Mytilus edulis: one gene and its partners. The protein of the gene in region 1 purifies or fractionates together with the protein of each later gene. This does not show direct contact. Links are inferred from orthologs where the notes say so. Each region holds a gene or a part of one and is shown in the gene's direction. Other genes may lie near its edges.

What was found.
Region 2: the proteins of coatomer subunit epsilon-like (region 1) and phosphatidylinositol-3-phosphatase SAC1-like purify together in Homo sapiens (affinity purification with mass spectrometry; 4 studies listed by BioGRID and IntAct, with this or other methods). This does not show direct contact. The link is inferred for Mytilus edulis from reciprocal best matches to the Homo sapiens genes COPE and SACM1L.
Region 3: the proteins of coatomer subunit epsilon-like (region 1) and coatomer subunit beta-like purify together in Homo sapiens (affinity purification with mass spectrometry; 6 studies listed by BioGRID and IntAct, with this or other methods). This does not show direct contact. The link is inferred for Mytilus edulis from reciprocal best matches to the Homo sapiens genes COPE and COPB1.
Region 4: the proteins of coatomer subunit epsilon-like (region 1) and coatomer subunit delta-like purify together in Homo sapiens (affinity purification with mass spectrometry; 4 studies listed by BioGRID and IntAct, with this or other methods). This does not show direct contact. The link is inferred for Mytilus edulis from reciprocal best matches to the Homo sapiens genes COPE and ARCN1.

What each region holds. Positions count from the first base shown.
Region 1 is NC_092347.1:37,415,322-37,423,334, reverse strand, and holds the start of coatomer subunit epsilon-like, read left to right. Parts: upstream 1-4,988; 5' UTR 4,989-5,042; coding exon 5,043-5,138; intron 5,139-8,013. Other genes in the region: uncharacterized protein KIAA0825-like, read right to left, coding at 504-675, 1,611-1,753. UniProt on the Homo sapiens protein: The coatomer is a cytosolic protein complex that binds to dilysine motifs and reversibly associates with Golgi non-clathrin-coated vesicles, which further mediate biosynthetic protein transport from the ER, via the Golgi up to the trans Golgi network.
Region 2 is NC_092348.1:14,407,251-14,414,373, reverse strand, and holds the start of phosphatidylinositol-3-phosphatase SAC1-like, read left to right. Parts: upstream 1-4,102; 5' UTR 4,103-4,157; coding exon 4,158-4,183; intron 4,184-7,123. Other genes in the region: uncharacterized protein, read right to left, coding at 3,741-3,801.
Region 3 is NC_092353.1:31,909,445-31,916,530, forward strand, and holds the start of coatomer subunit beta-like, read left to right. Parts: upstream 1-4,077; 5' UTR 4,078-4,171; coding exon 4,172-4,177; intron 4,178-5,275; exon of another isoform or gene 5,276-5,324; coding exon 5,325-5,427; intron 5,428-6,033; coding exon 6,034-6,263; intron 6,264-6,654; coding exon 6,655-6,824; intron 6,825-7,086. UniProt on the Homo sapiens protein: The coatomer is a cytosolic protein complex that binds to dilysine motifs and reversibly associates with Golgi non-clathrin-coated vesicles, which further mediate biosynthetic protein transport from the ER, via the Golgi up to the trans Golgi network.
Region 4 is NC_092348.1:7,122,620-7,130,427, forward strand, and holds the start of coatomer subunit delta-like, read left to right. Parts: upstream 1-4,785; 5' UTR 4,786-5,074; coding exon 5,075-5,077; intron 5,078-6,168; coding exon 6,169-6,208; intron 6,209-7,002; coding exon 7,003-7,226; intron 7,227-7,667; coding exon 7,668-7,808. UniProt on the Homo sapiens protein: Component of the coatomer, a cytosolic protein complex that binds to dilysine motifs and reversibly associates with Golgi non-clathrin-coated vesicles, which further mediate biosynthetic protein transport from the ER, via the Golgi up to the trans Golgi network.

The sequences.
Region 1 (8,013 bases):
ATTTTTCATTTGATCTTTTTTTGTGATAATTTTTCATATCATGCTACTTGCTTGAGATGGAAAATTATCGCTAAAAACTAAGGAGGCATGTGGCGTTGCTAACGAAATTGACAACGTCGTCATAGGTAAAATAGCGATAAACAGATTATCTTTGGTCATCTAAACTCGATTGCATTTCTCGCTTTTGCCGTCCCGGCTCAAGCGAGAAAATCAATCTATAAGTATATCATAGGTACATGTATGCCATAGATTTAAAATAATAGATATATGTAAAAGTTGAAAATATAAAAACATTTTGCACTTTTTAGTTATTTTCTTTTTTCTTTTTATTTACTTCAGATGTATACAAGACATTAGAACAGGACGTAAAACTCAGTGTTTTCACTGTATTGCATAGGATCTATATTTTAATTGGACAGCAAAAGTGTTGTATCCTTTTTTCACAAAAAAAAAACATTTGGTTATGTGTTGCACACCCCCGAAAACATCTATAGCATACATACCACATGACTTAAGATAGTATTGATATCATCTGCCTCAGGATCATAACAAGAATCTTTCTCCAGTAAGTGTGAATCTAACATGTAGGTAATACAATCTTTAGGGTTGTCTGACTGTTTGTTGCCTGGCATTTCATTACATGTCTTCACGATACCTTTCAGGCAATCTGCCATTCTGTTTATAAAATAAAATACATTCATTGATTTTAGTTTGAAATGATGGACATTAACTTAATTAAAACTATGATATAAATGATATATTTACATGTAATGACAAAAATAAAAAAATTTGAATTAAATTTATTTTTACTTTTTTTTTTATAAATTTCCTTAACTTCATATTGAAATGTAGCAGAATTTTTCAGATTCTATCTATAGTTTCAAACAGTAATTTAGTATCAGCTGTTATATATATGCTATCATATGCAAGTTGTCATTCTCAAAACACTCCCATCTTTTCATGAAATTTGAGTTGTCTCCCATTTGTTTCAGATTTGTCAATCCTGCCTGCAGGTATGATGTGAAAATTTTAAATTGAAAAATTATGCTTTTCATAGCTATACTGTGTTTAGCAATGTATAGGAATAAATTATTTCAGGATAGCGATAAATAGAAAATTATCCTTAAATACACAATATTGCTAAAATTGTGTGCTTGATAGATATTAATTTCACTTTGAAAAAAAAATTGTAAAGGCCTGAAAAATTACATTACAACTTGTCTGACAGCACATAATCAACAGATTTAAATTTTATGAAATAAAATCACAAAAAAAATTTATTTATTTATAATTTCTTATACCAGTTTCATAGATTAGTCTCTGTAATCAGAAAGATTTCTTTTAACAAGGTGCGCATACTTTTAACTTCATTTCAATGTTATTCAGCAGGTTAATAAACATATCAGTCAAAACAACTTTTTTGTTAATGGCATACCAAATAGTTTGTAAAAGAAAAAATGGTTCTTTTAGTTTTATTTTTTATATTATTTTGGTTACTGCCTCTTTGTTTTATACCCACCAACCCCATAACAAATTGCTGTAAGAAAAGAGTTGTGTGTTAATTTTCCACTAAAATAAATTACAAGCATGTCAGAGTTTTATTGGCTTACTGTTTATTCTTTGCCTCTAACTGTTGATCCAGGTCTGCTATAATAGAATCAAGTGATGTCAACCCTGGGATACCTTTCTCAAGCATGGCCTTCACTGGGGGCATCCTTGCAGTCGGTAACTTCATTGGTTTAGGTTGACTCATTTTCCCCTTTTAACAGGAAGATAGCTCAAGGTTTACAACTTGGAATCACCTAAATAAATTCAGCAAGATTTATAATGACAGACTTTTATTTCCTATGTCAAAATTGGTGTATGCATGGAAGAAATAAATAAATTTCTACACTCAAACCTTCAATTTCTAAAGATTAAAATAGGTGATTTTAAGAAAAAAAGGGACATATTTTCCTTTTAGCATACATTTTGTACATGTTGCATCCTACTTCATCTACTTAATAAGTGAATTGCCCTTTTAGTAGTGATGTTAAAGTGTCTTTTTGTGTTATTTTAGTTAATTGCTTAATTGCTGTTAGCCAAATTAAAAGTATAAATAGGCCATTCATACATGTATGTAGAGTAAATAAATATTATAGCCAAGCTCGACAGCGATATAAGAGCCGTGGTGTAGTGCATCAGACTACTAACACAAAGGTTCCTGGTTCGATTCCCGTTCCGGATGAAAATTTCAGGGACTGAAAACTAGTTTGGCCACAACATAAAATTTTAAGTTTATTTACAATTTTCACAGTGTGTATATGTTAAGTATGTTTAAATGAACGTTTGTTCCCATATTTTTTCACTTTATTCATTATAGGTTGAAAACTACAGACAAAGTTTAGATGTTGATGAAGTGTCCTATATTTTGACTTTAGTGGAACCTTAAACTAAATTAAACTAAACTAACCTGGAATGCATATTTATAAGACACTATTTACCAAAATGAGTTTAACAGTAGAAAATTCAATAAAAAAAAAATTTTGGAAAATTTCCTGAATTTTTCATTGTACTAATGAACTCAAAATCGTTCAATTTTTTTTATGTCATGTTTTGAAATCCCGGACATGCGCAGAAATGTACAATGTACTTCCTTTTTCCGGTCTCGTTTGTATGAAACTTTGAGTAAAATATATATTTATCAGTATAAAATAGGAAGGAACGCGCAATACCAATTTCATTTTTAATAATTCCTTGATATGAAAAAACGTTACCCGATGATAGCATTTCTTTGTTTACATTGCATATGACGTCATAATTTAAATAACGTCACAACTAAAATCCCTAACAACAGAACCAAAATCGGAAACGTTACGGTTTTCCGTTTCTTTTTTTTTTAACAAATATTTAAGTTACAAAAAAATAATTCATACAGACTTCGTCCCCATTTACAGGTAATGCCTGCCTCATATTACAATACATGTAGCAGCATAGAAAAATTATATACTACTAAGTTCATACATTCAGGCATTGATCTTTTGCATTTTTCATCTTGGCATATTTCATTTTAAATTTTATGTTGACTTTTTTTTCTAGAATATGGATGCTTTTCAGTAAAGCGACATGGTTCTCTGGTGAATCAGTGGTGAAATCGTCTTGTTTTCGCAACTTGATATTTTCGGAAATAAACAATGTTGACTAAACATAAATCAATGCCGGAACAGTGCGGTATTTACGGCCTGTTTACCGTAGTTGACATAAAAATGACATCGATATTTGCAACACGGTGTAATTATTTCCAGAGTCTGTCAGAAAGTACTCTATATATTCCGGATATTCCAAGAATAAAAATCATTATTGACGAATAACTGAAATCAAGTGTGAGTTTACATTCAGTATTTAAAAAAATAAAAAAAAAATATATGTTGAAAATTCAAATGGAATACCAGATTTTGTGTTTTAAATAAGACATAAGACATAAGACATAAATCTCAGAGTGACTTGACTTTCCCTTTTTAATATTATTATTTTGGATCACTTTAAACAGCCAAATTAGTCTAGACTAAAACTAAATAAACTTACTTTTAGTTTCTGTCATATTGACAATTTGTTTATTTATTTATTTTATCAAATTTTAATTTTCCTATACTGTCGTTTCCATTTCTTTGTAGCAACATCCCAGCGGCACCAGCATATGGAGTATATGTGTCTCAATTGATACGTTACTCTAGAGATAGCTCAAAGTACGTTGATTTTGTTGAACGAGGAATACTCAGTGAAGACAGGGCTATGAATCAATCAAATTAAGGTCATCACTCAAGAAATTTTATGGTCGCCATCATGAGCTGATAGGCCATTATGACAAAAGTGTGTCAGAAATCATATCTGATATTCTTCCTCAGTCATAATAACCTTCCATCATTACCGAACTGAACAAAGAAATAACACGACGGGTGCCGTATACGGTGCAGGAATTGCTGTAACCCTTCCGGAGCACATGATTTCACTCCCTGTTTTTAGTGGAGTTCGTGTTGTTTCTTAATCATTATTTATAACTGTTGATGTAAATGTCATTTGGTTTTGTGAGTCTTTGTTTACTCCTTGGTTTTGATTGTTATTGTCTTTAAACTAATCATATGGCACTACTGTGGAAGGGGGAGGGGTCCCGCACTCCACTGTAGCTAAAAGTTATGGGGGGGGGGAAATAGAATAGGATTTTGTTTGGTTCAATCACTTTAATGAAAGTGAACTGAAATGATGAAATAATAACTCGTTTTTAGTAGCCAATTTGGTTCAAATTTGTCAAAATAAACACACGCACACAAAATGGTGAATTATTCACTTGCAAGTCAATAATTAGACCTCACTGACTCTGTATTGATGTGCATGCCATCCAATTTATCCAATTACATGTAGAACGAGATTGGTAACGAAAGTAGTATAAATCGTGTTTTGCCATTAAAATAGAAAGAATGTCAACATTAAAAGTTAAACAAAGATGTTCACTTCGTTGACTGATTCGATTAGCAAATAATCTGTCTCATAAAAGATAAAAACGATAATTAACTTATTTTTTACATATCGTGATGATACGTGAAATCAAACAGACCTAGAAGAAATCCATTTGCACAAGGTCGCTATCTATTTATATTTACCTTTATGTTTATATCGGATTATGTGAAAGTCTTTTAGGTCATCTCGATAGTTAATAAGTTGGCATCTAGACTAAAATACACAAGAACATACTGTTCCCAGTTCTCAACTTCTGATTAATTGTTATGATCGTCAACCGTATCAACAGATATTTTGTCTCAATTTCTTAAACTTATATATACTTCAGCTTGAAAAAAGTAACATATTCTAGAAGCTCCATGCAAAAATAAGTATTATAACATGACAGTCACACAATTTCATAATACGATAAAAGCCGGACGAGAAATTAAGAACGTTGTAGTTTAGTGTATAACTAGATTAATATTTGGTTATTAGTTAAATTATTTAAAAAGCGCTGGAAAGACCAAGATATTCTCATTTCCGACTTCCACATCATCGTTGCAAACATGTCAAACACCGATGTTGATGAACTTTTCGAAATAAGAACTGCATTTTATACTGGAAATTATCAGCTATGTATAAATGAGGCACCTAAACTAAAGGTACTTTCATCACTCCAATCGTATTTGTGGAAAAAGAATGGTTACTGGCATTATCTGCCATAGCAATCCCCATTTTCACCATATTTTTTGTTCGTTTCAACAGGCAACGTAGCCTCGTAGGATACACATTGCATAAAAAGATCATGTTTAGGTTCTGAGTTCATAGCTTTATTCCTTACTTCCAACCAAATCCCTGTCCAACCAACCATTCTTATTTTGGTAAAACAAATGACTGTCATTCCTCAATCTGACTGAGGAGTTGCATAAATTTTGTGGGTTCTAACCATGATAACAAGAGAGCATGATTTTCATTACTAAAATGCTTGTCTCATCAGTGGCTTGAAACCAGGACCTCCGTGTTACTAATCAGCATTTTTACCGACTAAGCTTAAGACGAACATACTGTACATCCCTAGCTCAACCACCAACGGCTGACATGTATCTACTAATACAGTAGTCCGAGATTACTCTGACATATGGCTGTTTTGCCAGACAAGCTGGGGCTGTGAGATGTCAGAGCTTGTCCCATATCCAAAAAGTGGATATTTGCCCGTCCAAAATAGATGCGCTGCTTCGTCACTTCTGGTGCCGACAATCGGCCTAGAAATTATATAAATCATGTATCAATTTGTTCATTTTTCACAGCCCCAGCTTGTCTGGCAAAGCAGCCGTTGGACGTCAGAGTAATCTTGGACTACTAATAAAGCGGAGCATACACCTGATTGCTATTTATTCCATTCTGGATCAGTTCTAAAATTACACAACTTTTTCATCGGGTTGATGCTATCTGGGACCCTGTTTAAACAATTCACCATGCATGATACTTTTTAATGAAACCTGTTTTAACTACCATAAATACTTCAAACAAAATATTTTTTACTTCAATTTTAATTTCGAAAAAGTGGATCATACTTTATCAAAGTTTCTTGATGATCGCTTTCTAAAGTTTTTCCTCCCTCAGCTCACTACTGATGACCTCTATTTTCAGCGGCCTGACCCAAACAGGAAGTTTTATAAATGACTTTTTTCCGGATTTTACTTAATTTGCGATAAGATGTATTCCAATCCCAATTCCCCTACCTCATGAATCATCATATCATTATGACACTCATAATCATGATAAAACATATCTGTTTAAGGTTAGTACTTACATCATTAAAATAAATAGGGTAGGAAGGTCAGCATTTTCATTTTATTATTTGCCATGATTTTAAGTTGCGCAGTGTGTCTTGCCGTCGTCCGAGTTGTCCATGGCCCGAGTTTACCCGTATTTTTAATGATTGGATTATTTCCCTTGGTTATTGGTTGAAAAAAAATGGCAGTGATGTTTTTTTTTTTCATTTCATGAGTTGCGAGTTTCATTAAAACAGCTGTCATATTCAAAATTGTGAACATTGGGATGTATCAGGCAATTGATTAAATTTATTGGCAACCCTTACTTTGCTTTTGACACAAGTTCTATTAATTTTTCACTTTACAACGGAAATAAAATGGCTCAGAGTTGGCGCTGAAATAAAGGTTGGTCGGGTAACCGTAAACAGACATATATTTTTTTTGGCCTAATGAATAATAATTTTATTACAAGATATAATTGCTTATTATCATGATTATAGAAAACTATAAAACAGTAAAACCTAAGCTGATTCAAACTGATAATATATTCTTATAACAATACAAACTGCTTATTAAAGTAGACCTTTGCAGTATCAACAATTGCATCATAAATGGAACACAGAATGCCTGATTGGTTTTTTTTTTGTTAAGGTAAATCCATTAATCCCGCTATCCAACGCAAGCGCGTCGCTATAATTTATTCGTAATTTTTTCAAATTTCCCGCTTATTTTTCACTTCAGATCACGTGATCGTCTGGTTTACTATTTCTGAATGAATTATTTCTGTTGTATTAAGTAACTCCGCGGAACCAGTCTAATAAATTTTACAAAATGGCAATTTTGAAAGATCAAAATAAACAGAGATTTCAACATTGACATATATTTTTTTTATTAAAAGAATATATAGAGGCATATATGAATGAAATGAGATGAAATAAATTGACCGCATTTCCTGACGACACTTACAAACTTGTTTTTACGAAATTTGAACAAACCATGATTTTAAAAACGATCAAACACAGGGGTTTGTTACAAATTTTTGCCAGGTTTACTATCCATACATACCCCGAAAATGAGCAAGTCTTTGAAGTATAAATTATCACCTATTCGAACTAATAATCGTTTAGTAAGCACTTCTACAGTAATGAATTTTACCATTTGAAAACAATTGAAAGGAATATGATTAGAAACAAACACTAAACTGATACTACACTTGAGAAATTCACTTTCTCGATGTTCAGCTTGGATGAAGCCATTTGAATATTATAAAACGTTCAGGTCAGAAAAATGAGAAATCATTATGCTAAAAAATGTCAATTCCTGTCAAACGTCGTAAAGTTAACAGTATACTGCTACAGTGGGTTGCAAAACCAAACACAGAAGCTGACAATGACCTTTATTGTTGGTCCTAGATAAAAAAAATACATGTTCTGCACCTGTTAGTGCTAAGAAATCTTCACATAGGCAGTCTGGTATAGACCCATCATGGAAAAAGATTTCTTCTTGGGTTTTATACACAGATAATATGACATGTATGAGGATTATATGAATTTACAATGGAGAAAAAAGACTCTTCTTCTATACCCAGACAATAACATTAACAAACAAAGGGGTAACTTTCATGAGCATGATGAGGACAGCATTACAAGAGAAAGCATCAATAGCATAATATAAGAAAACACATAACAAATAAATAACAAACAAAGCGCGCTGTGACAAAGTTACAGAGTAATTGTCGAAAATTACGAGCTTACCAAAGTGC
Region 2 (7,123 bases), on another chromosome or scaffold:
GTTTCTGATATAAAGGCCAAAAGATTTTTTTCAACGGCTTTTTATAATATAGTTCGTTCCTATATTGGACGGTCTTCAACAATGAGCAAAGCCCGTACCGCGTAGTCAGCTATAAAATGCCCCGAAATGACAAATGTAAAACCATTCAAACGAGAAAACTAACGGCCTAATTAATGTACAAAAAATTAACGAAAAAAAAAAACAAATATGTAACACAGCAACAAACGGCAACCACTGAATTACAGGCTCCTGACTTGGGACAGGCACATACATATACACATACATGCATACTGTGGCGGGGTAAACATGTATTGAAATATTTTGCCATTATGGTCTATAAAGATATCAGATATCAGCTGGTTAGCTACTAAAAATTGCAATGACTCAACATCAAAATGTTTTTAAGTTCTGTTTCCTTAACTACTAACACTGTCGAAATAAATTTTAAAATGTACATGTATAAGGGTACTTACATTTTCTTTTCCTTCTCATTGGGCTCCATTTTGCGTAATAACGGTTGAATAAAAAATATTCCTTTTATATATACCTGGCTGGAGCCCGTGCAACATCTGGTGCTGAATGCGTTTTAGAAAACTTCAAAGACCTTTGATTTTTTTTCTCACGCTCACAACTTACCCATATATAAACTCAGGCATGATAAAGGGAGCCGACAGGATGAAAGACAATGCCTTTAAAAAGTATTTTTGGAACATCAAAGTGTTATATTGTACGTCAGAACGGGTAGCACGTCCACACGGGGTTGTAGAAAAGTATGCAGTCTTTCAATAAACAATAAATTAATTTACAATCCTCAATTAAGAGATCAAAGGAGTTTTTCTTTTCATCTTACATACTGTTTTAGCGTGGTTGTAACAATGATAACTACATCAACAGCACCACACAATTGCATAACATAAGGGTCAGATTCATTTCGTTGTATTTCGTTTCTTCATTTTTTCATTTCGTTTCGTTTCGTTATATTTCGTTTTGTTTCGTTGTATTTCGTTGCGTTTCGTTGTAATTCGTTTCGTTTCGTTATATTTCGTTTCGTTTCGTTTCGATTCCGTTTCTCACTTTATAAGTACCCTCTATGGTCGGGTTGTTGTCTCTTTGGCACATTCCCCATTTCCATTCTCAATTTTATGTTATTTGCTCGTCCAAATTAATATGACATCTTGAAAGGTTATCATATTTTTTGGCTGTTACATATATGGGCTATTTCAAAAAAAATGATGCCAAAGTGTGACAAACATGGTAAAAAATTAAGTCATTGCTAATCTTTTTTCTATCATTTTTCTTTAATCCAGAGACATTCAAGTTTACAAAACTACCAAGGGTTAATGCAAAATAATAAAAACAAAAATTTTAACAACATTTTACTCATAAGAATTCATCCACTTTTCAAAGGAAACAACATAATAATAATATCAACTGACAAACATAAATAAGAATCTAAATATCAATGTAATTTTTTTGTTTGTTGCAATAAAGGTTCTAAATGATTTTCCTGCAATTTTTTTTTACTTATAAACAGTTTTTTTTTTTTAAATATGTAAATTTCACCAATTTTTAGTGTATTCTTTAATATCTTATTTCAAAAGTTTTTATATCTCTTTGCAAAAGCTTTAATTTTATATAAAAAGTATAAGGAAGCAAACATATATGATCTAATTACATCCTCTGAAAATTTCACAACAATTGCTTCAGTCAATTCTAAGTTTTCTTCATTTAAAAAATACAAACATGTGTTTGTTATCCTTTTGTTACACTCCTGACATATTTTTTCAGTAACTGTAAGACTGTTTTTTAATGGAATGTTTAGAAAATCAGTAATGATATCTATTTTAAATTTACAATCTCACAAATAAATAAATTTATTAGATATTTGATTACATATTTTTTTAATTTCTGAGCAAAGAGCAAACTTTTAACATGTTTAATGAGAATTACACTTTAATTTTTAAGAATCTTTGGTGAATAGTGTGCAGAAAAATCACTTTTACAAGACAGATCAGCTTTCTCATAACATTGTAAAGATGTTACAATTATTTTAATAAAGAATCATGTTGAATTTTGTTATAGATAAGCTACATCAGAAACTTGTCAGGAGTGTAACAAATGTTACACTCCTGACCATAATTTATTTCTACCATATTTTAACCTGAAACTGACCTGAAATCATGTAGAGTCTTTATATTTCACATATTATTTTAGTGCAAATTAAGAACAGGTTAAAGAAAATTATATACTTCTTACATATTTACAAATTTTGCTAATTGTCTATTTAAAAAAAAAGATGGCTTTCCTTTAAACCTTGTTCAGTCTCTTGTTTGATACTATATATATGCTGTTTTTATGTCAGATAATGTATTATGATAAGTTTGTTCGTTCTTCCAAAGATGGTAGCAGTATGTGCTCTGTATATTAAAAATTGTCCAAAAATGTACCCAAAAATGTCAGGAGTGTAACGCTTTAAAATGTTTAAGTGTAACATTCATGTTATTTTTTATAGAAACAATGTTGTTATTATTGGTTTTCCTTTCTGGAATTTGAGTGTGAACACCATCTGTTGCATATTTTCAGTAACAAACATGCCATTATTATGGCCTTTATTGCTTGTTTATGCTCAATACTTGTATGTCAGGACTGTAACACACTTAAACAAGCTAGTTCAATTGCAATTTTAGTTCAAAAATTTCAAAAGTAATGATGTAGACTTGTATTCTGTGTTAAGCTGAGGTGTAGTAATGTCATTTTATAATAATTGTCAGCTTGTTTTTCTTCCAATAACTTACCTTTGCTAATAAGATTGAAATAAGGCATTTTTTTGTGTTACACTCCTGACATTGAAGTATTGAGCATACAAAAGCAATGAAGGTCATAATAATGGCATGTTTGTTACTGATAAACTGTAACAGGTAATGTTCACTGAAAAACAAGAAAAAACAACAACTATAACAACATTGTTTCTAAAAAAAATACATCTTAACCCAGTTGTTACACTCCTGACAGACCTGGGTAGTCCTCTTATTGTAACCATAATATTCCAGTAGTAGAACTTCAGGGTCAACTGGATGCACCTGTGCCAAGCTATGATACTTACCTAAAAGAATAAACCGTGCAAGATGTACAGAAACATGTTATTTCACCTACAAAGACATTTTCTGGCAGCATATTGACTTTTACTAACATTTTTTTTTAAACACAAACTTATTTGACTTACCTTATGAGGCACATAAAAATGTAAATATATGGAAGAATTAAACAAGAAATCATAGTAAAGATATAATAGTTGGATGAAAGATATTGTTTGGTATTGTATCTGCCCTTATTTATTCTATATCATCAATGAATGCACATGCTTTCTTCTAAATGTCACACTAAAAGCGTTACACTCCTGACATTTTGAGGTACAATTTTGGACAATATTTTTTAAACAGAGCACATACTGCTATTATCTTTGGTAGTTAGGACCAACTAATCATAATACATTATCTGACCTAAAAACATTACAGATATAGTATCATACAAGAGACTGACAAAGGTTTAAAGGAAAGGCATCATTTTTTTTGAAATAGCCCATATATGTATATCCTAGCTAACTCTAAAGATTATATTTAGAGGGGGGATAAGAACACCCCCCCCCCCCCCCCTCCCCCCAAATAAGACCCCCTTACACATATTTTTTACTCAATGTTTACTACAAACTTTAGAAATGTGTTACTATTTTGAAAACTTACACTTGGAACTATAAGATCCAAGAACAAATGGAAGGGAACAAAAAGCCAAATACCAGAACATTGTGTATGTCTATACTAAGATGTATGTCACTATGTTCTATATTTATAAAAGAGGGTCTTGCCGGAACTTAATCTAAAATTATGATGTCATATACAAATTATGTATTGCAGCACCGGAGACGTTTTTTTATCGAAAATATATAACTTTTTTGATAAATTTAGTCAAGTGAGGTAACGAAAAAGCAAGTATTAAATTACTGCTAATAACACTTATCCTTGAATCATACACAACTAGAAATTTTATTTCGAAAATTTGCTGAAACAAGGATTAATTATTTTTCATTAATTTAGCTTTTAAACCAAGGGGAGATAACACATAACTGTCACGTCAGGCGATCGGCGATCACACCAGTGACAATGTCTGTCCACGATTCATTAACTCTGTATGTATTTGTTAGTCGTTAAAGAAAACGAATGTCAACCTATGCATTAATTGTAAAATATCATAGAGCTCATAAAAACCGGGAAAATTGCTTTTCGAAAATACAGTCAATAAGTCATGATCTTCAGACAAGTCAAGTCGGCATCAAACCGTCATGACTGTCATTCAGAGGTATCCGGTCGTTCCGGTCCCAAACCGATTCGGCCCCAAGTCGATCCGGCCCACGTCGATCCGGTCCCATGTCGATCCGGCCCCTTAATAAAATATGAATAAACTATATTGTTTTTGGAGGAATTTGTGACAAATTTTAATAGTATAAATTTTTAAATGGAATTTGATTTTTATTTTATTTAGATCACACACAGAATAGCTAAATAAATATTTACAGTCCAATGGAACCTTTAAAATTTCACATCATAATGACTTCAAATCATTAGTCTATAAAATTGAGAATGGAAATGGGGAATGTGTCAAAGAGACAACAACCCGACCAAATAAAAAACAACAGCAGAGGGTCACCAACAGGTCTTCAATGTAGCGAGAAATTCCTGCACCCGGAGGTGTCCTTCAGCTGGCCCCTAAACAAATATACTAGTCTAGTGATAATGAACGCCATACTAATTTCCAAATTGTACACAAGAAACTAAAATTAAAATAATACAAGACTAACAAAGGCCAGAGGCTCCTGACTTGGGACAGGCGCAAAAATGCGGCGGGGTTAAACATGTTTGTGAGATCTCAACCCTTCCCCTATACCTCTAACCAATGTAGAAAAGTAAACGTATAACAATACGCACATTAAAATTCAGTTCAAGAGAAGTCCGAGTCTGATGTCAGAAGATGTAACCAAAGACAATAAACAAAATGACAATAATACATAAATAACAACAGACTACTAGCAGTTAACTGACATGCCAGCTCCAGACTTTAATTAAACTGACTGAAAGATTATGATTTCATCATATGAACATCAGGCACAATCCTTCCCGTTAGGGGTTTAGTATCATACCATCATAACATATATGAGAAGAACATAACCCGTGTCATGCCAACAACTGTTTTTAGAATAAATGTGTTTAGTTCCGATGCAAAGACCTTATCAGTGACTCAATATTAACGCCAACATATGCAATCTTTAATGACTTGACAACAGTATCGTAATTATATCCCTTCTTAATAAGTCTATTCAAAGGTTTTGTAAGTTTCTGAGGTGAATACTGACACCTTTGTGCTTTATAAAGAATATTACCATAAAAAATTGGATGTGAAATACCTGAACGTATTAGAAGTCTGCATGTTGAGCTATATTTACGAATGATGTCTTTATACCGATGATAAAATTTAGTAAATGTTTTGACTAGTTTGTGATATCGAAAACCCTGGTGTAATAATTTTTCAGTAATACATAAATTTCTCTCATTAAAATCTAAAACATTGTTACATACACGAGCGAATCGTACAAGTTGAGATATAAAAACACCGTAAGATGGTGACAAGGGAACGTCACCATCTAAAAACGGATAATTAACGATAGGAAATGAAAAATCATCCCTTTTATCATAAATTTTAGTATTCAGCTTTCCATTAGTGATATAGATATCAAGATCATGAAGATCGAGAAAAGGGCTGTGGTCATTGTTAGTATTAGCTTTATTTAAAGTAAGTTCAACAGGATAAATTTCATTAATATACATACTGAAGTCGTCATTATTGAGAGCCAAAATATCATCCAAATATCTAAAAGTATTATTAAATTTGTTTATCAGATGTTGTTTCGATGGGTCTATAACTGGTTTGTTTATTCAACAACTGTCTGATGATTGTGAACTAAGGTGATGCCACTCGTAATCACTTAATTCAATCAAATCCTGATTAATTAAAGTTACGTAATCAACAAGGTCTTTATAGTTTGATCTTTTGTTTGGTGTATATAATAATAATTAATTGTATTTTTTTTTTTCATTTAACATCAGAGGCTTCTATAACACTTGGGTTTTTTTTTGTTTTTTTTTGTACTGTGGAATATATCTGGCAATATATATTTTTCTGCAAGTTGACAATATTTTGAATAGTTGTGGGTAGATAAAAAAAAACATGTTATATGAGTATCCATTAGGTCCGAGACCACAATTATTTCGTAGTGCATTTCTTTTACAACATAAATGAAAATTTAAAAAATCCCACCTGCGCTTTCTCAAAGAAACTTTTACAGTGTGTTGTACTACTTTTGGGACAAATTATATCAAAATTATAGAAAACTTCATCGCCTCTAACTCAAAATATGGACAATTTTATCTTTAGGGCGTCTTGAAATGATCTTTTGACAGCTTCCGAAGTGCTATTTTTCAACCTTTTTCACCTGGACCAAATCACTACTTTCCTTTAAAATTCTGGACCCAAATTTGTTCATGTTGTTTACAGTGTAATTTCACCCCCCTACTTGCAATATGAGGCATTAAAACATGGAGAAATAAATTTGGAAGGGGTATAAACATGATAAAAATTAATGGCAAGTAACCCACTGTCAACACTAGGGACTATATTTGTGAACAACGAAAATCAAGGGACGACAATTGTGGTCTCGGACCATTATTCTTTATTGCAAGAAAAGGTTTCAAATTGTTGGGGTTATTCATCGTTTCTGTCAATTTTTGGATAAACATCAAAATTAAACTATGACTCATGGTTCTGTATTAGTCAATCACATAATTGTTTATAATGTAAGGTATAATAATCTACATTGAAACTTAAATAAAATTTAAAAGTCTAGTGGTTAAGACCGATGGCTACAGTACTGAAGGTCCCGAGTTCGATTCTCACTCGAGATGTGGAATTTTCAGTACATCACAAGGCCGTAACTACCATTGAGGCAAGTGAGGCAATTGCCTCACTAAAATTTCGACACTAAAATATTTTTTTGTATATGTGTTTATTTGTTTAT
Region 3 (7,086 bases), on another chromosome or scaffold:
TTGGGAAAAGAATAGTTAGCTAACAATTTATATCAAAAACCAAGAATCTTCAATTTGCTTACTTAAGCTTGTTTCAATTTTAAAAAGAGGCCTGCCAGATAATAAATCCATTTTTTCCACCAAATTTTTTTTTACAAGCCAATTTTACAAATGCGTCATTTAGGAATAGACTGTATCATACATGTGTATGTAAATTTCCATTGTAATTCTACCACAAAATAAGTTTCACAAAATTTATGATTTATAAGATTTACGATTTTTAATAAGAAGAAACTTAAAATTTGACAAAGATGTAATAAGCACACCTACATATTGTGCACCCCAAACATGCAAAATCTCATTAGCAAATCCTACCTGTATAGTTGAGCCATAATAAAAAAAGGCAATACCAAATGTAAAATTGTTTTGAGCTATGAAGTCCTTAGCATATATATAATTGAGAGAACCAATGATATAGCCTTCCCCAATCAAAATACAAAATTATACTTTTTTTAATATACTATATAAACCAAATAAAAGACCCTCGTATGTTGATCAATATAAATCCAAATCTGATAGATCAACATTATGTAAATTAAGGTTTAGTGCTCATACTTTATCTATTGAAAGCGGGCGATATCTAAAAATACCAAAGCAGAGTAGAGTATATGTCTTTCCTGCAACAGTGGAGACATTGGAGATGAACTACACTTCCTTTTAAAATGTTCATTCTATAACTAACAACGTGAGAGATAATAAATTAACCTCATTAAAAAAAAAGTCTATTGAACAACATATTACCTTCTTTATCATATAACTTGTTAAAATGAATGCTAGTTGGTGACAAACTCATTATTAAAAGGTACTTGATTTCTGTAATGATTTATATGCTTCTCTTTTATATAATTTTCCCATAATTATCCACTGTCACTTCTTCGTTGTATATATGTTATTGTAGTGGTATCCAGTCGTTCCGTCCCCAAACCCATTCAGCCTCAGGTAAATTCGGCCCCAAGTCAATCCACCCCCAAGTCAATCCGGCCCACGTCGACCCGGCTCAAGTCGATCCGGCCCAATAATAATTTATAAGGAATAAACTATAAAGACTTTTAATTAGTATAAATCGAATTTGTAAAAAGTATCAATAATGGATGACAACAGGTAAGTTTGAATATATTTGGAGTACCAGAAAGATGAAATATTTTAAGTCGATACGAAAATGGTTGTGATTGTATTTTTTTTTCAGGTAACATCAGAGGCTTCTATAACACTTGTCTAAGAACTTCACACAAAAAAAAATTTGTATGTATCAGCTTGGGGATCGGCTTGTACCGTTGTGTATGTAACTATTTGTTATTACACAGGATGAAAGACTTGTTAAATTAAGATCACATCAATTGAAAGAAATTGATAATTTAAAACTGCTGATTAATGTTGATGTCTGTTGATTGTCCTAAATTTTGTTATATTTTTTTTTAATATAATTATACCCAATAATCTAAAAAACTTGTAGTGAAACATTTTTTTTTAACATACACCTTTTACATTATAATAAATTCATTAACTTTACGAGTTACAATTAATATCTTTATTTTTATTCCTTATAAATATATTTTTTATTGGGCCTGACGTTGGGCCATATCGATGTGGGGACTGATCGACTTGAAAGCATTGTAGTTTGTCTTTAATTTGTTGTCATAACCATTTATTGTCAATGCCTAAGTCATTGTAAACTTGTACTAAAAAAGTTATCTTATCTTATCTTATAATGATTTTCAAAAATATACTTTCTTTTACATTCTTCACTCAAGTTTTTCAATTACACATGACTAAACACTCTGCCCTTTTCATATGATAATAATTTTCCCGTTTTAGTGTAAACTAGTACGGTACAGTAGTCTCAGATGATCATGATAGATCTAAATTTAATTTGTAAAGGTTTGTTTTTTCTGTTATGAATATCAAAAGTAAGGTGTATTATTATCATCTTTTTTGTGTAGGTTTGGGGTAAGTGTTAATTACCTGTATTAGCTTGTATCTATGATATAAATATGTCTCTGTCTCCTAATTTTGACATGCTGTCTGAACTTCGTCTGTCTATTAACAATTATATACCTCCTTATTGAAGAGTTTAGTAAATATCGCCCGTTTTTGTCAGTTACATTCTTTTCGGTAATCTACTGAATTTTATCTCTGACGTATGACATGAGATCCCAAGTATCTAACGGAGGCCGAACGTAACTTCCGGCCACGTTAAGCACTTCCTGTCGGCGACCAGAATTTCATTTGCTGGAAGATTCAAAGGTTTGTTAAACACCTACTATTAACAAGTATCAAATAATATATCTTTACGTTGAATTTGTAATTTAGAACTTCCACGTATACTGGACACAAAAGTGAAGGAACATTTTGATCACATTCTCAATATGTTTTCTTTCCAACATTTGTTATCTGTTTAGTGGAAGTTGTCACAATGCTCACATTAATCTGTACCGATACAGGCTCCAAATGTCCTCCTTTATACGCCATAACTATGGTGGTGCTCCTATTTAAAGGAGGCTCATACGGAGACAAGAAGACAAGTTATCTTGATAGGATTCAAAAACTTCAGCTTTATTGGTTTATGTTGATATCCATTAATTGCTGATTAATTCTAACATAAACCTACAATTACAGTTTTGAATTTGGTACAATATCCTGCTTATAATTTGTTCGTTATGTCCTTTCAATCAGAAACACTAATAGTATTATAGTCCAACATAATAAATTTACCAGTGAAAGGGGAAGAATTCTGTGTACATTATTTTTTAATAGTCAAATACTTATAATTTAAAATCTGTTAAAAAAAGAAACTAAAATACTGAAACGTTTCCGATGTTGGTCCTGTTGTTAGGGATTTTAAAAATTGTGACATCATTTTTAATGAAAACAAAGAAACGCTATCCTGATGATGTTACGTTTTTTCGTATCTAAGACAAAGAATGATCAAAAACAACAATTTTACAGAACAAGTCTCATGACATACAAGACCAGAAGAAAGAAAGAGATGTCTGTGCAAATGGGAAAAAATAAGTCTGAAAAATAAAAAGTTAATGATTTTGAGTTCATTACTTAGCTGACATGGAAGAATGAAAACCTTTGATTAATTTTTCTTTTTAATTGATTTTTCTACCGTCATCAGGCCCTCAATACTTAGTTTAGTTCTTGTTTTAGTAGTTAAAGCTGGGAGCAGGTATCAGTTGTGTTATTGACTATTTATCAATAGATTTTCCTTTACATTGAATTGATCCCATGCTAGAAGCCAGAGAAAACTTACACATGTGATCGCTAGGAAGTCATATTTAATAATAAATGAGAGGCGTAGATATCATACAAGGAACAATGAGGAAAGAACCTATCAATAATCATACATGTACAAATGATGTACATGACACATTGAGTAAGGTCTACTAAGGGAGGTAATACAAGTCAATACATGTAACAATAAATCAATAAAATAATCTGTTGCATGTATTGAATTAATGATATTTATTTCAATTGACAATAGGCTGTTCGCCAATTCCCGTAATTGACCCTGTTATAAGAGACCTTTATTTTTTTGGTCTCCCTTTATGAGGGACATTAATTTTTATTTACAATGGAGAGCTCACAGTAAGAGCAAATTTACCTGTGCGTAATGTGAGTAATCTGTAAGGTTTTTAAATCTTTTAATTACATTAATTTGTTGTTTAGCTAAATACTTTTGACATCAGCAATTATTTTTCATGAAAATTTAGTTTAACCGCCGATACATCCCTTCCAATTCATCATGCTTTGCATTGGCAAAAGCCAATTTTGTCTGGTATGGAACCAGTCTACGATTGACAAAGGGAAGTCATGGAAGTAGTTTGTTTAAAAAGTGTGTAATAATAGAATCAAATTGGTAATTGGCAAATGGACTATTATGCTGCTACAATTAAAAAGTTGAAATTTTGTTATGGGGCAGAAGAAAAACCATGCAGGACATCCAGTTGCATTTATATTAAATATAAATGTTTTGCACTCTTAGTCTTACACATTGTAAAACTAATAGATTGTGTCAATGTACTCATGAGTCATGTTAAATGCATATTAATCACTTTATCACTGTTTATATTGTATTTACACAATTTTATATTTGAAAAAACTTATTATAAGATACAAACATATCAGGATGACGGTAAGAACAAGTTATTGTGTTTGTTTTGCATGAACAGTTTGTTACTTTTCAATATCAAATAGAAACAATATCTTATCAGAAAGTTAAAGTTTTGAAGAAGTGTAAAATGTATGACAATGTAAAGTTTTACAAATGAGGATAGTACAAGGCATCTGTTCATGCAAAATTATACCTTACACACAAGGTGATTCATTAAGCACTCCTTGCTAGATTTTTTTTATTAGAGAAAAAGGGGGGGAAGGGGTAATGTACTTGTAAATTAGATGATTCATAATTATTTTTTGTCCTGATTTTTTAATGATCTACCTTTACAATGACTTCAGCTCATTAAAACAGAAGTGTTGCTCAAAATCATATTTCACCAAATACTGACTAAGTCACTATCATATCATGAATTATATATATACAAGATATATACATGAGAAAGTCACAAGAATGATAATTGAATCACCATGTGTGTCAACAGGTACTTTAATGGTTGTAGGAAATTAGATTTTTCAGTTAAACATAAACATATAATAATACATGTATATATTGGCCTAGAGTACCAGGTAAATTATGCCTCTTTAAGTTATTGTGCAATGTATTTTTTTTTTAACTTTCCCATATATCATGTATATTGCTATTGATTACTTTATTGTACAAGTAGTTATGGACATATTTTAAAGCCAGTTATATTTTGTAAAAGTACACAAGCGTTCAGTCATTATCTTCCCTAAAATAGTATTTCTAGATCATTGGTTGCAGTACTTGTTTAGTATTTTTTGTTGAACCTTCAAGCTTTGTGATGTGGTGACTGCTTACAAGCAACTAATTGCACTTTTTTTTTTTACCATTCCAAAATGGCAACAACAACAAAAAAACAGATTTAAAACATAGGATTTTGTTAATCTATAGAAATATTGTTCAATTATTATATAAAAGATTTGGTCTTCTGTCTTCATCTTTACTGGTTCCAAATTAACTTCCAATACCATAAAAAAAATCCTGAGATACTTGTTAAAACACTGATCATATAATACACACATGTAAATGGGGAAAAAATCTCTTGTATGAACTTATTCTAGAGCTGTTATCTAAAGATTTTAAATTTTATAGATACATGTACACCTACAAATGTAAAATGCCCATTTGACTTTATTTTCAGAATAAAAAGATGTCTACCTTGGCTGAGCAGCCATGTTATACTCTGATAAATATACCATCAGATGCAGAGCCTCCAACAGAGATGGGACTCAAATCAGATCTAGGTATGGCAATATATATATTGATATAAAACACCAGTGAAATGCAATGTGGATGTTTTACCTGTTCTCAATCTAGAAAGTCAATTTTTTTTATGTAATGTTTTTTGCAACCAAATATACAAGCATGGAACTTTTTTTCTGAATCTACACAATTGTTAATTCTACATACATGTACATGCTTCATATGTACATGTATACAAACAATATAAACAACAAGAAATGGTTTGCCAGCATTGTTCATTAAGGCTGAATACATGTACATGTATCTTGCAGTCTATCTTAAATGACACACAACAAACTACATGAGGACGTAAAAACTTTTAAACAAAAGATGTACATGTATTGGAGTGATTCACATTCAGCAAACTTTTGATATCATGGTTTAATTAATTTTTGATGGCTACATGTAGCTTATCATTTGCTGGTTATTATATGCTCTCCAAATCATTCATGTTTCATGTTTTAGTTTTAATTTATTGATCACAGTATATACAGTTGTATTTAAAGGCATGAAAAGAAACTGATTGAAATTAAATTGTAAAATTTCACTTTTCAAAAGTTGTAGTACATTGTACAATATATATTGAATGATATTTTTTTTTTTATTAGAAAAGGGAGATACAAAAACAAAGATTGAAGCTCTGAAGAAGACGATACAGATGATACTGAATGGAGAGAAGATGCCATCATTATTGATGACTATTATTAGATTTGTCATGCCTGTGAGAGACCATACCATCAAGAAAATGCTGTTAATTTTCTGGGAAATTGTTCCAAAATATAACCCTGATGGCAAAATGTTACACGAGTTTATTCTTGTTTGTGATGCATACAGAAAGGTATGTTTTTTTCTAGGGCTTTAACTTAAAGTGTTCTTCCTAATATAGTGTCATGGTACCAAGGAGCAATAAAGCCTTGGAGAGATCATTTGCATCTGCATTGATGGGAAATGTTAAATTGAAAATAAATTAGATATTTAGCAACAACACTATTTCTTTCTACAAAGATGCAAGTAAGATCTACATGTAAATTATAAATCACTGTACATATATTATTGTTTGTATCTTATTGAGAATTTCACTGAATAATGTATCTATTTTTTTGAGTAAGGATGGTACAATTAAACACGCATGTTTTTGGAATTATTCATTCTTCAAAATGAAACTAAAAGTATAGGTTTATACCTATGTAACGATATATCAAATATAATTCCAATTGCTTCTTTTTCAGGATCTTCAACATCCAAATGAATTTATAAGAGGATCAACATTGAGATTTTTATGTAAACTGAAGGAAGCCGAATTATTGGAACCACTGATGCCAGCAATCAGACAGTGTTTAGAACACAGGCACTCTTATGTCAGGAGAAATGCTGTTTTAGCTATTTATACTATCTATAGGTTTGTACATTCAAAATTTAAAGCGTTAAAAATTGTGTGGAAAGTTAATTAAAATAACTCTGGTCAGACTGATTTTATTTCCAATTACAAGTTGAAAGGAATTTTTTAAAGTTTAATGGTTTTGTCTTACCAATAGATTATTATTTCCCCTCAGCTACAGGCATAATGTTTTACCCTTGTCTCTGTATGTATGTCCGCCTGTCTGCATGTCCCAAAGTTCGTTTCCATTCTTTAACTTTGGTTTGTCTCAACCAAATGATAT
Region 4 (7,808 bases), on another chromosome or scaffold:
AGAAAAATGGCTCAAATAAAAAACCATGAATCTCTTTTGATTAAGTTAGATTTGTCACTTCGGTGACTTGAATGTCTGATATCTGTGAGAATTTATGTCTTACAATATATAGTTAATTTATTTTTTTGAATTCTCAAATGGATTGACCAATTCACCTCAATTGTATAGGTTAAACTGCCACCGTTCAAAAGCGATGAAAATTCTAGATCGAGGACAGAATTCAAGATACACGAGATAGTAGGTTTTCCTATAAAACCGTGTCAATTAGAGGTATATATTTTCTTAAAATAACTTCAAAAATGTCTTTGTCTGCAGCTGTTTTCATGTTTCAATTTAACTTCCGGTGTTTTTTCGGAACATTTCTAGATCTTCTTTTCTGAATCAAATTTTGTTAAAAGTCTTTCAGTGAACATAATTTATAAAGTCATTCCATAATTCATCTCTAAATTAAGTTTATTGTTATTGCTTTTCATTCTTACAAAATTTAATTTAAAAATACGAAAATAAATATGAGTAATGACCATACAAAAAGATATTGCTATAGATCACAAGAAGACCCCGATTTAATATAGAATAATCGATTTTTTTTGATTTTTTTTTATACAATAAATTATCCATATATGTGTAAATAGAATTTGATAAGTATTATGTATACCATTTTATAAGGATCTATTCTTGTCAAAGTTATAGAACTGAAACTATCTAACAAACGGTCTCAATGAATCGATGACAACTCGCCCCACTACTGGGCAATCGCCTCGTATCAAATCGCCCCACTCTTTCCCCAACTCGCCCCACTCTTGGTGACAACTCGCCCTTTCTGATGAAAAAGTGTAAATCCCATTGATCATAGGTCTACAAACTCGCCTCACTTATGAAAAGGGTTAAAATCCCGCTGAATAAAGTACTCGCCCCACTTATGGAATTTTTTTTTAAACCATGATGAATTTTATAGTCATGCCAACTCATCCCACTTGTCAGGGACAGTTTATACTTAGTTAGCATAGACTGTTCCTGCACGTATGAAACATGATGCAATCCTGTTGCCAACTCGACCCACTTATGAAAAGGAGTTGTATTCCATTGATTTAAGGTGGTATGGGTGTCTTTCGCTATCTTGGATTGTAAAAAAACAGAGAATCTAAGGTCTAGATTTTCAATCAAGTTAGCAAAATTTGATGCAGGAATGCAGTTAACAAATATGAATTTGCATTTCAAAGAACAAATTTATAAGCTTATAACTTATAAATTTTAATATTTTTACAAGTATAAATGAATTCAGTTTGATTAGTTTTTTTTTTTTTAAATTGGCATTTTAAGGGGAGATAACTCTGAAATAGTGCTTTTTCGGATGGAATCTACATGGAATTTTGCTATTTTGAATTCTAGCCGGGAAAAAAACACACGGTGACCCTATCTTTTCTTTTGATATTCTAAAAGCATTTTCTAAAAGATATCTTCTCGAATTTTATTTCACAATGCTAACATTTAGTTTAGCTTCAAATCACATAATGATGATTTATTCTGTATAATCCATACAAAAGGTGTCATTTTGTCATAACCTGTAGCTTGAGAAAATGTGCGGTGATCTATCATTTTTGTTATCGGGAGAAAGGAAGAAAGACCAATCACAATTTGTTATATATTTGTTTTTCTCTTTTTTAATTACATAAAAAAAATAACCCTTTCAAATATAGAGTTCATAAGATACAAATATTCCCTGTGGACCCCCCCCCCCCCCCCCCCTTTTATTTGTGCTCTGTATTTTCAACCCTCGAATTAAGCTTTCGAATCTAATTAAAATTAAAACCTTGCTTTCTAACCAATCTATTCATGTACCGGACCGGCAACTTTCTTTATTTAATACGAAAATCTACAGTGCCGTTATACACATGCATGTTGTTTGCTTGGAGTCTCCGCCCGAAAAGAAAGAAATAGTCTAACTCCAAGATATAATATTTCTGCATCACGTGATTTTTACCATGTGGAGCTTACATTTGAATAAATACCGAATATGGAAAGTGAAACTACAATTCAAAACATAAAGTCGGAAGGCACAAATAAGAAAAAGAAAGGATTTTTTTGGCAAAAGGTGCAGGTAAATTCTCTCCGTGTTCAAAATATACATGAAATATTTGCCACTGCCCCTTTTCTGTTCTATGAATTCTAACCTATCTGTTACTCCATGCCAAGAAATCCTCGCTAAAAATTCCGGTCGACCCCCTACGGCAGTCATTAGTAGCTAAAGATTTGATTTCATTGAAGAAATTAATTTATGACCTTCATGTACGTGTTGCTTAGAACACAGCTATATACCAAATGGTCAATATTAATCATCCATGTAATTTGCCCTATGGAGTGTTTGCAGAATTTCAACGGAGGCAATTTCTTGGCATGATTTTTGAACATATATCAATAGACACTACGTTTTGACAAAGTATGAACAAATTCTATCATTTTTAATTTAGACTCCCATACCACTTTTAATGAAGCCAACTCGACCCACCGTACGAATAAAACAATTAAACTGTACAGAATTGAGGCCTACCTAGTTGCCCCAATTATGAATTAAATGAATATTTATGAATAATGTAGAAATGCATCTCGGTTATTGTAAGGTAGATGGAGTGTCTAAATTATAATCCACTAGAACACACCCGTGATATCACGGGTCCGTGACTGAATTAAAGTATATAACTATGTGCAAGCCTTATTTTAGTATTAGTATTGTCATCTGATAAAGTCATACCGATTATAAGATACACATGCAGTTTTTCTCTGCTTTCAAGTCTTTCTGTTTGAACCCGTCGAACTGAAACAATAATATTAATTATTTGGAAAACAAAAGGTCCTGGAATGAAGTATTCTTTAATCAATAGCATTGTCCTATATAAGTTATAAATAAAGGTTGAATTCTTTGCTTCGCTGTTTTACGTCATGCCCACTAACAAATTGAAAACTGTACCTATACGCCTTATTTTTAGTCCAGATTTTTAGTATTCGTATTGTTATCTTAAAAAGTCTTACTGATTAAAATACTACAATAGGTAACAATTTGACAATTTAGTAGTGTCAACCCTGTGGTTATGACCCGTGTATATAGCATATTAATCCTGAATACAACGTTTGGTGGTGCGCCTGTCAAATGCGGAACGTACAGATAAGGTAATAGGTAACAGGTGAATATACTATTGATATCGGTAGCGGACTCGACCCGGAACTTCTTAATTATTGGCAATATTAATTACGTGGAAAACAAAAGGGCCTGGAGTGGTGTAATTTTTAATCTACACCTTTGTACAATATAAGTTATATATAAAGTTGAATTCTGTGATTCGTCGTTTTTACGTGATGAAGGCTGACAAATTGGACCTCGTAATTTTAGTATTATAGATAGATTTTTTTTGATAATTTGCCAAAATGTAGTTTATATTCTGCTTGTTTAAAAACCTTCATAAAAATAATGGGTCACGGCACTTATTTTCATACTACAGGTTGTGCAAAATTGGCAGATTTTGTATAGATTATGATGGAAAACCCAATTTTCCGCCATAAAACCAAAACTACACCATATAATTTTGAGATAAAATATGAGAACATAGCTCCAATATTATGCTTTCAGATAAGAAAAAGAAAAAACAGGCGGTCACCGGACTCATTTTTTTGCTACATACTAAAATGGGTAAATTCCTAACACAGTCTATTGTAAAAGTAACATTATTTGAATTATCTGCCCTTGCATTTGAGTTGCCTTCCCTTATTTGGCAAAGTTGGGGAAAAAAATGAATCAAACAAAAGTATTCGTGTTTTTGTAAAATACAACCATAAAGATGATTAAAACATGGTATTTTTCTGTATCATAATGAACATTCTTACACATGAATTACCTACTACTCTCAAAATTTGCACATTTTATCAAAGATCTAGACCTTGATTCCTGGTATTTCAAATTCCAAGATGGAGGATACACCTTATCTACCTTAAACTCTTTAGGTTGGAAGAGAGCAGACATGAGTAAGTATCAGCATTTCTGGAACGTACAATGTTATTGACTATAGGAACTGTTTATGATTTTTTTCCTGGTAAATATAGGGTCTGGAAAGGGGGGGTCTGTTATTCTGTAAACCTTTAATTTTCACCCCTTTTTTCTCTAATCATTAAAAAATTAATCCCTTTTTTCTCTAATCTTCATAAAATTAACCCCTTTTTTCTCTAATCTTCATTTTTTATGCCCGTTATTCTCTAATCTTCATTTTTTAAGGGAATTATTCTTTAATCATTTAACCCCATCCAAACCCTCATATTATCACTGTTTTACATATTTACAAGTCAAGAATCATCATGATAAAATATCATCATGTATTTTTACACATTTTTTTCTCAGATGAAAGTTTTGCACAATAAATCAATTATGACAAACACTGTCATGATTACACCAATGATTTGTATCGTTCTTACTATACAAATCTTTGATTACACAAAAAGAAGTACTAGATAAAATGTCAACACTAGAAACAAGAACATAGATACACAAATATGGTATACAACAGATAAGTTTTCATAAAAGTGAGGCTGAGTTGGCAGACATTAATCATGTTATTATATGGATTTTACACATTTTGATAAATGCAGTGAGTAAGCAGAAGTAAATTTAACGGGATTTAACCTCATTTTGAAAGTGGGGCGAGTTGGTGCAAAAGTGGAGCGAGTTGAGTTGTATTACTTCCATCTCATTGGTCCGTTGTTGTTGATTATTTCCTAGACATTTTTATGTTGTATTAGGCTATACCTGCGCATCTGAATCCGGCGATTTTCTTTTAAAAATATAATCCTCTATTTAACACCTAATTTTATAACAATTTTGTGCTTTATAAACTAAGATTTAACGTTGTAAGATTTCAAACATAGAACTCATTGCAAAATCTTATCCATTATTATTTGTTCAGAAACTACAATTTTTGGGATAAAGCGCAAGGTTACAACTTGAAATTGACGTGGCCGAAAAACCGTCAGCAGATACGTTCATTACTTCAATATTTGTCAACACTAGTATTCAAAACAGCTTTCGTTCAACATGGTAGGACATTCACTAAGTTTCTATAACATTGTCAGACATTCTTATTGCTCTCAACAATGAATATTTTACTCGCTAGAGCCTGATCAAACCCAAACCACTTACCGGCATCCTTCATATTTTTTCTCCACAACAACAAACCGAACCTCATTTTTGCTTTATTATACTGTAAACATATTGCATAACGTAATGTATCTATAATTGGATTCTATCACTAGCAATATGGAATGAGCACAGATTCGTAAAACATGTAAAAAATACTGGGATATCAAAAAGTTTTCAAAATTGAAGCCAATGAAGGACATAACGTCATAAGATACATGTACTGTTGGACATGTAACTATAAAGGAAGAATAAAAACTAGTAGTAGTAAACAAAAGAATGCACCACTATTGTATACCTTTGTCAATTTTGTATGATCTGTACCAATCATATTCATTAGTGTCATTCCTTAGGCTTAAGGATTATGTACCCTTGTGTTGATTTAATGCCACACATATGGAAATTTTATAGAAAACGCACAGCCTTTCCCTTTGTACTCTCATGTTTGGTAATTCTATGGTTGATAGATAGAGAATTATTGCATGCAGTGCTATCAAGAATTTCCTTAAAACAAGTTTATAGGTTAGATATTGGTTAAAACAAATATAGATATCCACCATATCAAGTACACCTTCTACGGTGCACTTGACTTTAGTGACTCAACACAAGGTGTTTTGGAATTTAAAGGTTGTTTAGGACATCATAGAAAAACAAGTGAGTAATCTATGGTCAAAATTTTATTACATTAATCTCTGTATTGAAGTCTGTGGATTTTCTACAAAAATCTTGGTTTTATTTTCACCAAATCCTCTTTTTCTACTAAATGCAACTAAACTTAAAATGATAAGGCTTTGCACAAGTTTCCCCTTGGTATATGTACAAATTGCATATCTCTATTAATAATTATCTTTGCTGTTTTGATACTATTGAAACTATTGCAGTTTGAAAATTTCGTAATTCTCAGGACACAGAAGGGTTCATAAACCTTAAGAATGTAAGAATACCCATGAATTTATTGGACAATCAACTATATTTTTCTTTCTTTTATCTAGGTGCTGCTTGCTGCAGCTGTATGTAACAAGTCTGGAAAAGGTTGGTTTATTTTTTATAATTCTTAATTAATTAAGACACCAAAATGTTTATATCTGTATATTTTACAAGAGAATTGAGATAAAGCATAAAGCATAAAAGATTTATTTAAAGTCGGTTATACATATAACAATACAACATAAGCTCTGTAGAGCTTTTATCCGACATACATATAAGACAAGCACAATACATAAAACACATAAAACATGCAAAATAAATAATGTTATCAAGCACAACAATTAATTAGCACAATTAAAGCATATAAGCAAACATAAAATGCAGATAAACTAACATTCATGCAATAGCAATTATAAAGCACTAAAAGTAATTCAAGCATTAAGAACACAAATAAAAAAATTATGCCAAATAATTTAAAAGCCAGAGTATACATGATAAATAAATAAACTGATCTACAGCTCATTGAGATCTGCAGGAGGAACACTGACACGAACTGCCCTCCCAATTACCAACCAAACTTTTAAACTGAGAAATTTAATACTTGTTTTTATTGAATTTTACTATCATTTAAATTATAAAAAAAAAGGTAAAAGGTAAGTGCTATCATTTTAATTATTAAATTAATTGATTAACTACATTTATATAATATATATTATTACATCTCATACAAGTTTCATACAATTACATAATTTAAATGAATTTTCAAGATTGTAGCCTGACATCGTTATTGTAATACATGTAAGAATTTAATGCTTCGTCTCTTTGATAAATAATGTGCTGTACACCCTGATGTAATTACAAAATGAAGAATGAAATTAATACTTATAAGACTTTTTCAGCGTTAATTTCCCGTCAATTTGTGGAAATGACGAGGTCAAGAATAGAAGGCTTGCTTGCAGCTTTTCCTAAGTTGATGAGTTCAGGAAAACAACATACTTTTGTTGAAACAGAAAGTGTGAGATATGTGTATCAGCCTCTAGAAAAACTTTATGTTCTATTGATAACAACAAAAGCTAGCAACATACTAGAAGATCTGGAAACATTACGTCTGTTTGCACGTGTGGTAAGTTTGAAAAAAACTTTATGATCTATCAATAACAACAATCGCTAACAACATACATGTTCCTGAAGATCTTGGAACATTTGTCTGTTTGAACATGTGGTAAATTAGAAAACTTTATGTTCTATAAATAGCTATCAACATACTAGAATATCTTAATAAAGTGTCGTTTGGCAGGGCAAGTAACTTAATAAAGAAAAAAACTTCTTTCAATAAGTATCACTCACACAAAAAGATGTTGTGTGTGGGGGGGGGGGGGGGATAATACTTTTCATGTGATAGATTTGCTTGGATTACACCTTATTATTTTAAGGAGCATTTTTGATGGCATTGCAAAGATCTAGATAAATAGCAGAATTGAATATTTGTTAACAACTTGACATGCGTTAAAAAGTTAACTAAATGCATAACAAATATCTATTTTTATTTTTTTATTTTCTTCAGATACCAGAATACTGCAGAAATATGGAGGAGGCTGAGATTGGAGATCAGGCATTTTCTCTTATCTTTGCTTTTGATGAAATCGTAGCTCTAGGTTATAGAGAAAATGTAAATCTTGCTCAAATCAGAACATTCACTGAAATG